Caenorhabditis elegans: one gene and its partner. The protein of the gene in region 1 interacts with the protein of each later gene in a biochemical or structural test. Each region holds a gene or a part of one and is shown on either strand. Other genes may lie near its edges. The genes, in order: kin-3 and cgh-1.

The links.
Region 2: of the proteins of kin-3 (region 1) and cgh-1, one has a biochemical effect on the other in vitro, tested with the Caenorhabditis elegans proteins (one study listed by BioGRID).

Annotation. Positions count from the first base shown.
Region 1 is NC_003279.8:10,730,442-10,738,619, reverse strand, and holds kin-3 (Casein kinase II subunit alpha), read right to left. Parts: upstream 4,599-8,178; 5' UTR 4,582-4,598; coding exon 4,543-4,581; intron 4,478-4,542; exon of another isoform or gene 4,364-4,477; intron 4,300-4,363; coding exon 4,129-4,299; intron 4,070-4,128; coding exon 3,942-4,069; intron 3,893-3,941; coding exon 3,808-3,892; intron 3,749-3,807; coding exon 3,452-3,748; intron 2,995-3,451; coding exon 2,870-2,994; intron 2,815-2,869; coding exon 2,733-2,814; intron 2,536-2,732; coding exon 2,380-2,535; 3' UTR 2,005-2,379; downstream 1-2,004. Other genes in the region: nfs-1 (cysteine desulfurase), read right to left, coding at 93-248, 299-433, 586-679, 725-823, 996-1,115, 1,160-1,297, 1,803-1,871; mrpl-9 (Large ribosomal subunit protein bL9m), read left to right, coding at 4,962-5,021, 5,067-5,232, 5,283-5,407, 5,456-5,779, 5,827-5,982; rpn-10 (26S proteasome non-ATPase regulatory subunit 4), read left to right, coding at 6,229-6,254, 6,306-6,446, 6,766-7,267, 7,321-7,692; B0205.12 (YtxH domain-containing protein), read right to left, coding at 7,943-8,020, 8,071-8,145. UniProt on the Caenorhabditis elegans protein: Casein kinases are operationally defined by their preferential utilization of acidic proteins such as caseins as substrates. The alpha chain contains the catalytic site. May participate in Wnt signaling.
Region 2 is NC_003281.10:7,493,014-7,500,843, reverse strand, and holds cgh-1 (ATP-dependent RNA helicase cgh-1), read left to right. Parts: upstream 1-3,011; 5' UTR 3,012-3,049; coding exon 3,050-3,154; intron 3,155-3,201; coding exon 3,202-3,705; intron 3,706-3,750; coding exon 3,751-4,168; intron 4,169-4,189; exon of another isoform or gene 4,190-4,267; intron 4,268-4,316; coding exon 4,317-4,582; 3' UTR 4,583-5,524; downstream 5,525-7,830. Other genes in the region: sap-140 (U2 snRNP-associated SURP motif-containing protein), read right to left, coding at 1-367, 418-590, 700-812, 855-987, 1,050-1,082; C07H6.9 (Serpentine Receptor, class Z), read left to right, coding at 1,397-1,435, 1,479-1,569, 1,614-1,756, 1,799-2,011. UniProt on the Caenorhabditis elegans protein: Probable RNA helicase required for oocyte and sperm function. Also required to prevent the physiological germline apoptosis mechanism killing essentially all developing oocytes.

The DNA of each region.
Region 1 (8,178 bases):
ATTTAGATTTTAAAGATATCTTTCAAACATTTCTAATTTTTTATGTCTGAAATACCAATAATTGTGTTAAAAATTCAAAAAAAAAACCATACCCATCTCCTTATCAGCAATTTTAGCAGCTTCCCCAAGTCCAATGCACAATGGAGCAGCTACAGTACCAGATCGTAATCCTCTTTCCTGTCCTCCACCAGACATTTGAGCTTCAATACGAACACGTGGACGACGACGAACGTAAAGGGCTCCGGCACCTGGAAATCGGAGCTTTTGAAGAATTTGAAATCTGAAGAATGAAAATTACCTTTTGGTCCGTAGATTTTATGCGCAGAAATTGACATTAAATCAATTTTCATTTCATTTACATCAATTGGAACTTTTCCAGTAGCTTGTGCGGCATCTGTGTGAAAGTATACACCTTTTGAACGGCATAGTTCACCTGAAATTTTTTATTTTTTTCGTTAAATTTCTTTTAAATACTTAAAATACTGAATTCTGCGATGAGAGAGTCAAAACTGAAAAACTTAGATATTTTAGTTAAATTTAGCTTCTTTTTTGGGGTATTTCTCTGATTTGAAAAAAAAAACAAACCAATTTGCTTGATCGGCTGCATAACTCCAATTTCATTATTGACAAACATAATAGACACAAGACATGTTTCCGCGGTAATCGATTGAGTAAGTTGCTGAAATATCAGATATTTCCTATATTTTCTAACTGAAAAAAGTACCTCCATATCAACCATTCCTCCCTTATCAACTGGTAAATATGTCACTTTAAATCCTTCATTTTCCAAATATCGACACGAGTCGAGAACGCATTTGTGCTCCTGGAAAATAAACGTTTTTCTTTTAATTTCATTATTATGGAGACGCAAAAAATGCGCTTTTGGAAATCTATGTGAAAACGCGCTCCGCCTCCAAACCATGGGTCTCGTTAGGTGTTTGGTGGCGAAATCCGTTTTAAGCGAATTTTCTGCGGACTAATAATAGCAATCTTACAGTTTGCAGCGTGATAATATGATTCTTTCCAGATTGTTTTCGAAACTTTGCAACTCCTTTAATCGCCAAATTATTTGATTCAGTGGCTCCAGAAGTGAAGATGATGTCACGAGGATCTGCCTGAAAATACAAGGAAATTGAATAAAACTCTCAGAAAAAAAAACCTTTATAAGATTTGCAACATGTTCTCTCGCTTGTTCAACGCCTTCTTCAGCTTTCCATCCGTATGAATGAGTTCTTGAATGAGGATTTCCGAAATCATTGATCATATAGGGAAGCATTGCGTCGACTACTCGAGGATCCTGTAAAATATTAAAATTTGGAATTTCAAAAAAAATCCCAGCACATTTTTTTCCTAGTTTCTTAAGCTACGATTTCACTTAAATTGGAAATAAAATAATTTAGTCACATTTAGAGAACCGAAAACTGAGAAATTGGTTTTTTAAATACCAAAAATGGTCTCAAACTACTGAATTTCGCAATGAAATGTTCTGAAAATTTATGAAAAATAAAAAAAAAAATATTATATGGGTTCAAAGTATTGTAAAATGTCATATTTTCAGTGTCGCAGCGCTGTCGTAAATCAGTTTTCATATAATTATCATAATTTATTGCTGGTTTTGTTCGCTTAGGCCCTTTTTAGGCCATAAGCCGCAATTTTAGAATGCCTACTAGCTTAAACTGTGCCTAGGTTAGAAAAAAACTCATTCGAAATCTAAATTGTATCTGAAAAGTTTCGTTAATTTTTTCCAGATACAAGTTTTTTATATTATTTTTAATCATGCTTTATTATTTCCATTTAATTACCATTGGCGCGGTAGCCTGAACATCCAAATAAATCGGCTGCGGAGATCCTGGCTCAATTTTCGATGCCATTGTCCGGCGAGCAATCGATCGAAGGAGCACTCGTCCGTTGAGCATTTTAAATCTAAAACTCTAAAAGTGAACATAGTTCACAACTCAACATAGGAACAATAGTAGGTTTTTCAAACCAAAGACAATATTGATTACAAGTAACAGTTTTTTTTCTCACGAACTGTGATTCGATTTATAAAAATGATGATTGTGGTTGTTTGAGGAAGAGGAAAGGGGAGAAGAAGGAGAACAATATGAAATGGGACAAAAAAGATTTAAAATTGAAACGGAATTTCAGAGGCATGAATTACACAAAAAAATCCTAAAAATAGAATTTGCAAAGAACGTTTCTCACGAAAAGATTAGGCACTTTTGTGGTACGTAGAGGGAAATTTTCGGAGAAGCGGGGAAGATTTAATATCTTAGCCAATTTTTAGAGCAAAGGAATAATGATGGAGAGGAGTGGTGTGGAAATTAATAAAAAAGGAAATAGTCAACAGGAAAATTAAAAAAAAAATAGAAAGAAATTTTAAGCGCCGTCAATTTTGGCATCGGAGGATTGAGAAGAAGCGGAATTCGATGCACCCTGTCCGTCAGCTTGTTCAGTTCCATTGGCACGAGCATGTGCTTCAACAACTGGGCGGAAGTATTCGTGACCCATGGCCTCTTGAGCAGTTAGGCGTTCCTGAATATGGTGAAATTTATTAAAAGTTCTGGAAATAAATTAATTTAACAAATAAAAGTATTTATAGTTAGTTTCGAGTATCAAATGTCTTTTTTTTCAATAAAACAAGTGAAAATTGTTTTTATTTCTCTGTGTTCTTGTTAAAACTGGTTTTCAGTAACTAATTTGGTGTAATTTCTCTTTTTTCCGATTCTTACCGCGTGATCGTAGCGAAGAAGTTTATCAAGGAAATCAAGAGCCTCTGGGGTGACAAGATGTTGATTTTCAGCGTGGATAAATCTACAACAAATGAATTTTAAGAAAAACATGAAACTTCGCTTCGATCAAAATATACCTTTCCCAGCGTTTTCTTGAGTGTCGCCCGAGAATATCGTTGAAGCGTGGATCGAGATCAATGTGATATCTCGCAATGTACTCGTAAAGCTCATCAGTTCCCAATACCTTTGCAATGCGGACTAGCTGCAAAAAACTTTTTATAAGAAAATCAGATTTCGTGAATTTATAAAATATTAAAAATCATAAAAATTATTGATGAATATTTAATAAATACCTGACAATATTATTTATTCATTTAAATTTCAGCTCAGGGGTGCGAATCAATCGCCGGCAAGAAATTCTACGGAATAAGCCAAACTTATCAGTAAAATTTTAGCTATGGAATTCAAAAAAATAATTTCTTTATCTGAAAATAGTTTTTTGCAGCTGGAACAATTGAAAAATGCTCAAAATTGGAAAATTTTCGGTTTTTTTCGGAAATTTTAAACTTTCCGGTAATTTTTTAAGCGTTTTTCCCCATTGTTCTCACTGAAATAAAAGCCATAATCAGATAAATCAAATGTTTTCTATATTCCAATATTGGATTTTAATGAAATTTGTGGATTTGCGGTTCTTTGCTACTTCAGCTTAAAGTGCTTACCTGATCGTAGTTATCATGGCCGTGGAAGAATGGTTCCTTCCTGAAGATCATACTAGCCAACATGCATCCCAAACTCCACATATCCAACGAATAATCGTAACATTGATAATCGACAAGAAGCTCGGGTCCCTTGAAATATCTAGAAGCAACACGAACATTATAGTCCTGTCTTGGATGATAGAATTCGGCTAATCCCCAATCTATTAATCGAAGTTCCCGTTTTTCGGCGTCAATCATCACATTGTGCGGCTTAACATCTCTGTGCATAATTCCTTGAGAATGGCAGAAGTCGAGAGCCTGGAGAATAAATTGAAACGTTATGAATTCAAAAATTAATGGACAGCTGAAAAAAGTACCTTCAAGAGCTCGTAGAGGTAGTAACGGATATCATAGTCACTGAGGGTTTGATACAATTGCTTGAAGTCCGAATTGTTAACATGCCTTCAAATAGAAATTATTAATTCTAAAAATCTTCAAATAGTAAACCAACTCGAAAATAAGAGCCGGAGTTCTCGAAATAGGATCCTTGACGACGTCGAGGAGGGTGATGATGTTTGTCCCGCCACGAAGATTCTCCAAAATTTTAATCTCACGCTTGATCTTCTTCTTTTTGACTGGCTGAAAACAAACAAATTACATTTTGAAAGCTTTATTACAATTATTTTTGTAAAACTTACCTTGAGAATCTTGACAACAACTTTCTCGTCAGTGCTCATCTTGAATCCTTCAAAAACCTCCGAATATTTTCCACGTCCCAACTTGCGTACCAGCTGATAATCATCGATTTGTCCCCATTCGATCATGTGAGCCTCATAGTCCCAGTACTCGCGTGGTCTCGACGGATTCACCTGAAACAATTGTGATTTATAATATATAAACTCATAAAAACATAATTTAGTGACTTTTACAAATAGTTTTTCTTTACGAGACTATAAATTCCTATGAACATTTATAAAATCTAACAAATGTGGCGTACAGTGTTTCACAGTATTCCACAACTAAACGGATAACGTTAATTCCGTCATTGTGAGTTATGTATGAGCAATATATTCTGTTCAATAATTAACTCCTGGCTATACAAACTTGCTCACCTCGGCGTAGACCCTCGCCCGGCTAGGAATCGGAGGCATTTCCCAAGAATAACGATCTGAAACAAGTAACACGTTATTTTTGAGCAAGTTTTGACAAAACGGCTGTTATAATTGAATTATTAGAACGAAATTTTCAGTAGAAATAGTAAAATCTCGGGAAAACTGATAAAACCCGAATAATTTTGAAAATACATGCCAGAACATGAAAAGAGTACGCAAATGCGAGAGAGCGCAGAGAAAAAACCAAATGTGAACTCGTGCGTGGTGAGATATTCCCGCTGCGAAAGTCGGTGTGCCTTTAAATTTGTCATCATCGACAACGGCGCGCATTTTCTTTTCTCATCTATTTCTGTATTTTAGAATGAAATCACTTTATTTTCAGCGAAACACTTAATTAAAATTGATATTTTCAGGTAATTATGCTTTCAGCTTCACAGCTTCATCGATTTGTGCAACATATTAATCGCCAGGCAAGCCGAGTAAGTTCTGAAGCAATTAATAAGTTATTTTATGTTTTTCTTCAGAACACATGGGTATTGCGCCGAGTATTCCAACCAGAAGTCACACCGCCCGGCGGAGTACAGAAAAATCCCAATGATTTCCACGATTACCAGAAATACGAAGTTGTTGAGTTCGAAACACAAAAATCCGCTGGTCCGATTAATGTGATTTTACTTCAAGATGTTGAAGGTAGTTTTTTAAAATAAAAGAAAGCAAATGTAAAAAATTCATTTTTACAGGAATTGGCCATCAGTTCGATGTGGTTAGTGTGGATCGGACTTTGGCCCGAAAGGATTTACTATTATCTAAAAAAGCCGTCTACGCGTCGCCGTTTGATTTAAAGTACTATTCAGATATGAAAACAGTGGGTTTTAATGTTAATTTATATTTTTCAATCAAATAATAATTTCAGCGAATGGCTGAAGAACTTGCTTCTCGAATCAGAATTCCATATGAGCTCAAAGTGGTTGGACGAGATTTGCAAAAAATGGTCATTCCAATCAAAGTTAATATGGAAAATCAATGGACGATTGATAGGAATCTTGTAAAAAGCTCACTTCGTCAAATGGGAGTTTTCGTTGCTGAAAATACAATTTTCCTCGCCGCTAAACCAATTTCTGGCCCGAATTTTGATATCGAAGCAAAACTATTCCGATTCTACGTTGTTGTAAATCAACAATACATTGTTCCTATGTTAGGAAGGATTACACATATTTCAGTAGATGAATCCAAACAGGTAAAGATTGAAAAGTTGTAGAAAATTATTGAATTTCCCTTTTTCAGATGATTTCTCCTACACTGACAACACCACGTGACGAGGAATTGGCTCGATATTCCATCCGAAAAGAGTTCCCATTGTACAGTAAAAATAACGATTTCACGGAAGATTTCCCAATTTTCGAGCACATGAAAGAGCATGCACCAACAACTCCACATTAGAATTCTAATAATCAATCAGACTAGATTTAATGTGTTTCAATTCTTTATTTTTGTTATTCTTGTTTTGTTGTTTGAAAAAAATCGATTTTATTTGTATTTGATTCTTCAAATAATTTTTAATTTATTTGCTCACGGTTTAATCACCGTTTAATATCTTCCTTCATTTATTCGTCAAACTGTTTTAAATTTAATTTTATTTCTCACATTCTACAGAGTTCATACAAAGGTGCTCAACACATTTCCAAAATGGTTCAAGAAAGTACTATGATTTGGTGAGTTTTTCTTGAATAATACGAACAATGGCAATATTATTTACTTTTCAGTGTCGACAATTCGGAATACATGCGCAACGGAGATTTCCAACCAACTCGGCTCCAATCTCAACAGGATGCAGTAAATCTTGTTACACAATGCAAGTTGCGTGCCAATCCGGAGAATGCTGTTGGAATTCTGTCAATGGCAAAGTTCGTATATTACTCAAACTCGAACGTTTTTTTGCGCTAAAATGACGGTACCTGGTCTCGACACGAAGATATTTTGTTAAATGCAAAAAGGTGTGCCCCTTTGAGGAGTACGGTAGTTTCAAACTTTCGCCGTTCTAGAATTTTCATTGGAAAATCGATGAAAATTCAGTAACAACGTTTGAAGTTACAGTATTCTTTAAAGGTGCACATCCGTTTGTATTTAGCGAAAAATGTCCTGTCGAGACCCAGTACCGTTTTTTGGCGCAAAAATCACTGATTTCCGGTAACACATGAAATTTTTCAATGTTTTCCTTTTCAGCAGTGTTCAAGTATTGTCAAGTCTGTCCACAGAACAAGGACGTTTGATGATGAAGAATCATTCCATTGAGCCATTCGGAAAATGCAACTTTATCGCCGGTATCAAGATTGCTCATCTTGCTCTGAAACATCGTCAAAACCGTAATCATAAGATGCGCGTTGTTCTCTTCATCGGATCACCTCTCGAGGAAATTGAAATGAATGAGCTCGTGAAGATTGCAAAGAAAATGAAGAAAGAGAAGGTTCTGTGCGACGTCATCATGTTCGGTGAAAATGAATCCGATGGACATGAGAAATTCTCAACATTCGTGGACACATTGAACGGAAAAGAAGGCAGCGGCTCATCCTTGATCGTTGTTCCACAAGGATCTTCCCTCACAGACGCGTTGTTGCAGTCAAGTGTATGCAAAAATGAAGATGGGCAAGCTGCATTCGGTGGAGGTGGAAACGGAATGGATAATGCATTCGGAATGGATGTTGAAAATGATCCAGATTTGGCTTTAGTAGGAAATTATTTTTTGGTTGCGTTGGAAAATCATTTTATTATTCTTTTTAGGCTCTTCGTGTCTCAATGGAAGAGGAACGAGCTCGTCAAGCCGCCGCCGCTGCTGCAAATGGAGGTGCCGCGGATTCTGGAGCTGATGCCGAAGTTGCTGCTGCGGCTGCTGCTGTTCCATTGGAAGAAATGGACATGGGAGCGATGACTGAAGAGCAACAATTGGAATGGGCTCTTCGTCTTTCAATGCAGGAAAATGCTCCGGCTGAGCAGCCACAAGTACAACACGAACAAATGGATGTGGATGGAGCTCCAGCAGTTGGAGGAGACAATCTTGATGATTTGATGAACAACCCAGAACTTTTGCAGCAAATTGTGGACGATCTTCCTGCTGCAAATGCGGAGAAGGATGATGACAAGGAGAAGAAATAAATGTCCCTGTGAAGTTGTTTTATTGTATTTTATCCTATTTATTATTGAATCACCATCCAGCCACCCCAAGTGAATGATTTTCAGTCTCCAACTTCTTCTTCCCCGCTGCGTAATTCTAATTTATTCCATCTCTCATTTTTCATCACGTATTTTCCTGTATATCCAGACCGATGTGAAAATAAACTTTTTGTGGCAAATATAAATTTATTCATGATTAGATTCTAGATATTGATTGATTATGGGAGTGGTGTCATGGATCCTTTTTGTATTGCTTCAGATAGTCTTCCACATTCTTCATCATCTCGCTGGCCGATGGAAGCTTTTGTAACTGAAAACAGTTGAATAAATTATCAATAATCAATCAAAATAAAAGATAACCTCATAATTCTGTGCAAAGTACGCTCCGGCGTATGCTCCAAGCCCCATCGTCAGGAGATGCGAGAAGAGACCCATATTTTACTGAAATTATTGATTTTTTCAGAGATA
Region 2 (7,830 bases), on another chromosome or scaffold:
TGGCTCATTCCGAACGATGATTACACGAACTTCAGCCATAAATCTATCCACATCGGCACGAGACATAAATGCTACAAACGCGCAAATATGCGGCCGTCTTCGCTCTTCTTCGCTTCTCGGATACAAAATTTTCAGTGCGGCTAACGGTCCGAACGAACCAAATGTAAATAATAGATCGTCTTCCGTTACTGAATGTGGAATATTAGAGACATATACATTTGTAGTATACGGGTCATCGTCAAACTCCGACGTTCCCTGGAATCCTCTTTCAACTGTTGGAGCCAATCTCTCTACTACAGCTTGATCCATTCCAACTTTTTCCAGATGATGTCGTAAATCTTTCCGTTTTTCTCGATCTTCTTGAACTCTGAAATTTTACGGATATAATTCTTTCGAAATTCTTTTTTAGCAATATACCTCTGCAATTCCATTTTAAACATTTCCATTTGACTGATCTTTGGCTTATCTTGTTTCGCTTTCGAGCTGCCAGGCTTCGGGGGTCTTTGAAACGGCCTCGTAGTTGGCACGACAACTTTCGGCACTTCTGTCATTTTTTTGCTTCGTGCTACGTCTTCCAGCATCCTTCGAGCCTGAATATAGTGTTTCTTATTTCACTAAAAACATCCGTTAAGAAACGAACACATCTCTACCAATTTAAACAATGTGAAGAACTAAGCGCATGAAATTTATTAATTTTACCTTCGCGGCTGCTAATTTTTTCGCTTCATCAAAATCTTTGGATCCAACGTTCGAAGTTTTAGACGGAATGTTCATTGAAAACTTTGGTGCATAGATTCCACCGTCGCCAGCAGCTGAAAATTCAGTTTATATAGTTTTCAAATGGATTTTCTTACAAATCTTATTTCCCTCGACAACATTTCCTCTCAGAAAAGTTTTAGGCTGAGAAGAAACAGACGAAGATTGTCCAAAGTCTGCTTGGAACTCCAACAAAGCATCGTTCAACTTCGCCTCCTCATCGTCAGATGTCTAAACTTTTAAATCGGTATTATTAAAGCTTGTGACACTTAGAAGTTGACAAGGAAACTTACTTTCTTTCTCTTTTTGGACCATTCCATACTCATATTGCGGGGAAATTTCCCGGGAAATAATTTAAAATGTTAGATTTTTCCCAGTAAATGGACCAGGCACTGACAATGCGTCAGCAATTATGATGAAACGCGCCAGCAACCACTTTGGCGTGTTTTCGGATCTCGGCGCGACTTTTAAGTAAGGAAACATTTTATTTTTGAAAAAAGAAAGAACAAAATAATAACGTAATTAATTTCAATTCATGAGTTACACGCAATTTCATATTATTATTAACATTTAACGTTCAAATCATATAATTCATAAATAAAATAACAAACCATTTTTAAATAATTTGCATATAAGAATTATGAGTCTATCTCCTCCGCCGTTATTCAATCTCGATCAAGTTTGTTATCTGTAATGTTTCTGCCTTTATAAATAATTTTAAGGGATCTTGGAGTCCTATTGCTATAAACATGATTTGCCTAGAAGCTTTACAAACTTGGTACCAATCGGTTTATCTTGGATCTGCTTATTTCTGTAAGAAAATAAAAAGTGGAAAAATATAACAACTAAAATTGCAGATATGAAGACAGAGTCGTTCGTGTATCTGTCACTTGTTTACATTCAATTTTCGTTATTTTTTCTAACAAGCATTTTGATAGTTATATATTTTATATCATACAATGGAGTCCAACGTCTCAATGTTATTACGATTACCACAAATGTAACGTTTCTTTTGACTCCTGTTTTCAATTAAGATTTTCAGTTTATAAAAATGGTGGTGGATGTGTCCTGTTTCGGAACAATTTATTTTGTTGGCAGCTCGAAAATATTGCCTATTGTGGATTTGGCGTATTTCAATTGTGTTATCCAACCGTGTCGGTTTCTTATATTCATCGTATACTGCCATCACGGAGCTAGATGTGACGCATATCACAGATTTCTGGTTGAATATGAGGAGTTCGAATTAGAAAAATGAGGAAATCGAAAAACGATAAAGTAATCACATTACTCATTACATTTAGAACTAATTATCCTTTAATAAATTTTCATCGACGCTGGTATATTCTTTTTAATATTTAATTCATTATTATTCTCAAGAAATTTCGCATCAAATCTTCGTAAAGTTTTTCATTGAAATCTAATTTTGAATTACCGCCATTTTGTTTCGCGCGTTGGCTGAGTATTCAACTTTTGTGTGTTGAATGTACGCAGCGAAATGCCTCTCACTCGTCGCTCGCAGCAGCTTGGCCTACTCGTCCCGTCGCTCTCACAGTTTTTCTCTCCACACTCTCGTTTCTTCGCACATTTCCTTCATTTTGGCCGTTGTTCTCCACGTGTTTCTGTGTTTCTTCTCTAGATTTCTAAGAGTTTTAGGCGACGATGGCAGCTCCAATCTGTTATCGACACTTTCTTGATAGATTCAGTCGTTTTCCGAAGATTTTTATCAGTTTCGTAGCTCAGAAACCTGTTTTAAAAAACGATAACAAAAAGTGTTCTTTCAAACTTTCGAATGTAAAATATAAACTTTTTCGCGTTTATTGTTTGGAGAGTCGCTTAAAAACTGGAAGGTATCAATAAAAAATTGTCGTGATTCTCTGACCTTTTGAAATTGTTTCTTGTCAATTGCCACGTCGTCAAACATCGGCTACCCTGTTGGCTAGATACTCCAGCAACCCAAAGAGTGTCTGTGCGTCTCTATGCGCCGCCGACCACTCGCTTGCTTTTTCTAACCGTCATTGATCGTGTGTATACGAGCGCGAGACAGACACCGGTTGTCTCGCATAAATATTATCTCAGTGTTATTTAGCGTTCCTCCTAATTGTTCTGAAAATGCTTGAATGATTTTTCCATGACTAACAAAATTGTAGTAAACTCGATAGGTATCATTTTTTCGCATTAAAAACTTATCTTCCTTCATTAACAACTTCTCAACTTACACCATTAACAACTTCTCAACTTTAATCTCGATTTTACAGATCTCATCAGGAAATCAAACCTACTACGACATCGGAAAATGAGTGGAGCGGAGCAACAACAGATCGTTCCTGCCAACAATGGCGACGAAAACTGGAAGGCTGGTCTCAATCTTCCAGCAAAAGACAGAAGATTCAAAACTGCTGTGAGTTTGCAAAGCCTATATGACTTTGTGACCATTTCATTTTTCAGGATGTCACTGATACGAAGGGAGTCGAGTTTGAGGATTTCTGCCTTGGACGCGATCTTCTCATGGGGATTTTTGAGAAAGGATGGGAAAAACCGAGTCCTATTCAAGAAGCATCCATCGGAGTCGCTCTCACTGGTCAAGATATTCTCGCAAGAGCTAAGAACGGAACAGGAAAAACCGGAGCTTATTGTATCCCTGTTATCGAGAAGATCCAGCCAGCCCTCAAAGCTATTCAAGCCATGGTCATTGTCCCAACTCGTGAATTGGCTCTCCAAACTTCACAGATCTGCGTGGAGCTCTCCAAACACATTCAGCTCAAAGTTATGGTCACTACCGGAGGAACTGATCTCCGTGATGATATCATGCGTCTAAACGGAACGGTTCACTTGGTCATCGCCACCCCAGGAAGAATTCTCGATCTTATGGAGAAAGGAGTCGCCAAAATGGAACATTGTAAAACACTTGTTCTTGACGAGGCTGACAAACTTCTTAGTCAAGACTTCCAGGTAAAAAAATTAACATTTGAATAAGATAACAATTCTCGTTTACAGGGAATTCTCGACCGCCTCATCAACTTCCTCCCAAAGGAGCGTCAAGTTATGCTTTATTCTGCCACTTTCCCTAACACCGTCACTTCGTTCATGCAGAAGCACATGCACAAGCCGTATGAGATCAACCTCATGGAGGAGCTTACTCTTCTTGGTGTCACCCAATACTATGCCTTTGTTCAAGAGAAGCAAAAGGTCCACTGTTTGAATACGTTGTTCCGAAAACTTCAAATCAACCAGTCGATCATCTTCTGTAACTCTACTCAACGTGTTGAGCTTCTCGCTAAGAAAATCACGGAAATCGGTTACTCGTGCTACTACATTCATTCCAAGATGGCTCAGAATCACAGAAACCGTGTCTTCCATGACTTCCGTCAAGGAAACTGCAGAAACTTGGTTTGCTCCGATCTTCTCACCCGTGGTAAGTTTGACTAAATAATTTGCGCGATGAGGATTGATAACACATACACACACTCTGAAGTTATGTGAAGAGATAATTGAAGAACGGATATCTGAGCGCCATTTTTCTTATTTTAAAGTGTAGTTCATGCATAATTGTAATTTTTCAGGTATCGATATCCAGGCTGTCAATGTTGTCATCAACTTTGACTTCCCAAGAAACGCCGAGACTTACCTTCACAGAATCGGTCGCTCTGGACGTTTCGGTCACCTCGGAGTTGCAATCAACCTTATCACCTACGAAGACCGTCACACCCTTCGCCGTATCGAGCAGGAGCTTCGTACTCGCATTGAGCCCATCCCGAAAACGGTTGACCCGAAGCTGTATGTCGCTGACCAGCAGCTCGTCGATGCCGCCGATGAGACCACTGCTTAAACACTAGTTCTCATATCCCCAAACCTCCAAAACACACTGGTCGCCTACGTTTTTTTTTTCCATTCTAGTGATCTCGTCCAGATTGTGTATGTTCTCTATTTTCCTTTAAATGCACAGTTTGTGCTAAATTTAATATTGTTCAAGCATAAGCATCTTTCCTTCCTGTTTTCTCAAATCCCCGCACATTATTTGTATCCCATCCACCTTCCCGGACCCCATCAACCCGTTCCACTTATATGCGGTGTAAAATTCTAATTTTTCTTTTTCATTAGTTTCCCCATACCCTCCAACTTGCAGTCATGGACTGTAACTCATTCAAGTCGTTGTGTTTTACATAGTCATTTAAGTTGGTCTTTATGCTCCCAAAGTAAATTGTTTCGACATTAATGTGTCGTTGCAAAATATATTTGGGAGTGTAAGGACATTGTTCATACACATCGGGTTCTTTTTGACGTGTATCATACTGGGTAGCCGGCTCTGTAGTTATTCTGTTGAGCCGCACCACATTGATCAATCTTGTAATTTCCTATCTCATTTCCCACAATTCTCCCTTCATGCCCCATACCAATGCATCCAAAATTTAAAACCACCATCCTTGCGGTTTTCCCTTGCCCATCTGTAGGGTTTTATTCCGCTCTTGTGCTCATTCCAGTTCAACTTGTCCATCTCCTAATCTGATAGATATTTATTGCAACTATTATCATGTCAAATGGCTCAAAGACTATAATGTCTTGGAAGGCTTCCGGCTGGCCATGTGTCTCGCTTACAGCTCTTCCCCCATCCCCATTCCAAAACCATTTGTTCTCTCCCGCCTCCTCCCTCTTGTTTATTGTATAATTTGTAGAAGTTGACACCAAAAATTTGCACAATTTTTCGATTCACAAAGGATGTGCAAGCTTCCTTCTGGATGATTGCCATCTTTAACAATAAAAGACCGAATCGAAACATCGTCTTCTGTTATTTCTTTTCAGAGTTTCATATGAAGAGGAAAGTAGTGAAAGCCTTGAGAAAAACCGAAAACCCACAAGAGATACATTAAAGCACATTAGCGCATTTCCCGAGTGAAAGACCATGTGAAATGAAAGTAACAAAATGCGACGATTTACTTTCGTTTCTCGTATTCCCTGGCAACAGCAGCGGAAGGCGTTGAATGTGTTGACAGTCAGCCAGCGGCAATGGTTGAGGTCGGTATTCAATTTACTGTTTCTCTCTTGGATGTGTCATCCGGAGAGGTGATTGCCCATCCGTATCGGCACCAGTAATGCGCGCCGCGCACAGTAATATTAGTTGATATTGCGGTGACGGGAGAGGTCGGAACGTCTACATTAATCTATTAGTGTGTATTCGGATTCCGACCGCAATGACTTTGAAAATTCTTTTTAGTTTCATTTTCTCATATGCTTTTCTATATGTATATCCTCGCCTTTTGTAATATTATGCAAATGTTAACAATCCGTATCCGTCGATGACAGGCGGCTCGAACCGGTCTGAATTGGATTGGAATTCTTTGCGCGATATCCGCAGAGAGACAAGTGATGGCATCGAAACTATTTTTTTCTCTGATTTTTATACGGTTTAGGCATCTTTTTTTTTAATTTTAATCAAATAACAAAAGTTTATAAAAATATAACTTTTTTGACCAACTCCATCGATAAATCACGAGGTTAGTCTCGTATTACTCACATTTACTGCATTGTACAAAATGACCATTTTCAGAAAATTTTCCAGACGAACGCGCCCGATTAATAAATTGAAATAGTCTTTCATTTTTCGTTGATGATGTTATAATGGAAAATAATGCGAAGTACAACAAAGTTTTATTGCCCAGACGCGAAATGTTGCGAGTTTTACGTAAACGGGTGTGCGCCTTGAAAGATTACTGTACTTTCAAACTTGTGGTGATGCGGAGTTTTCATCGATTTTTCATAGTTTCACGATTTGTTGAAATTTAAATGTCTTAATTGTTTCGTATTAGTATTTTAGTAAATAAATATTTTTAATCGAAAAACTATGGTAAATATGAAAAATCGATGAAAATTCCGGAATTAATTCCGCAGCAACGAAATTTAAAAATTACAGTATTCTTCAAAGGTTTTTATATTTTATATAGAAGGATTTGTTAACTTTATTATTTAAAAAATTGTTTTCATTTTCCCTCATTATTTTTTGTTGACCATTTATATCGCAAAAAAGTGTATTGATATTCTAAACAGCGTTGATGACCACTTAAGTGTCAAAAAAAGAATGAAAAACGGTTTTGAATTGAAATGAAGGAGAAGTGGACGGTGTGATACATTTCTAAATAAATTCTTTTCAAATTTCAAATTCACTTTTTTACACTAAACAATTTTTGATCGGATTTTTGAGTTACAAAGAGCTTTAACGTGGAGCTATACCTATTTTGTAAAACTTTTCGTCAAAGTTCTGAAGGTACAGTAAAGTGGAGTTTTTTCTTGAAATAAACTTAAAGTTGATCAAAAAGGCTACAAATTAAAATAAAATACTTTAAAATGTTCAAGATTTTTCAGAAATTTAATTTTCACTCTTGGCAAAATGTCAAAACCTATGTAGTTTTGAAACATAAATTTTTTTTTGAATAATTGCAACATTATTTGTGAATTCATGCAAAATGCAAAATGGGCGTAAAAAGTGAAAAAGTTGGACAAAGAAGAGGTTGAAATGCCATTAGGTCCATTGGGTCAACCTTTCGAATAATGAAAAACTGGATTTTTTTCTCATTTTCTCAATGTCTACTCATTTTTCGATGTTCCATTTACCATTAGTAACCGCAAGGAAAAAAAACAAACTATAGACTACTTAAAAACTATTACTATTAGAAGTGATATTATACATTTTGAAATAGTTTATGCTTTTAATTGATCTTTGGAAATAATAATAAAAGTTTATCATTTTTCCATAAAAAGATAAAAAGACAAACTAAATTCATATAATTTCCTAGGATGTCTATAGAACAGAAGTTAAAAAATACAGATGTCTGAAATTCTGGTTTAATAATTACTCGGCATACCAACTGTTTGTACTGGCAGTAAGAAAACGAACCCACCAATTATAGTCCTTCAAGTTCCGTTGCAAACATGGGTTCTTCGTATCTTCTTGTTTTTGTGTTTTTATTCACTTTTGGAAAAGTTTTTTGGAAAACTTTAGATTTTGGTATATCCGTAAATTCAAAATCTGTAGGGTTCTAACACGATTTCCAAACGATTCAAAAATGTATCAGAAAATCCAAA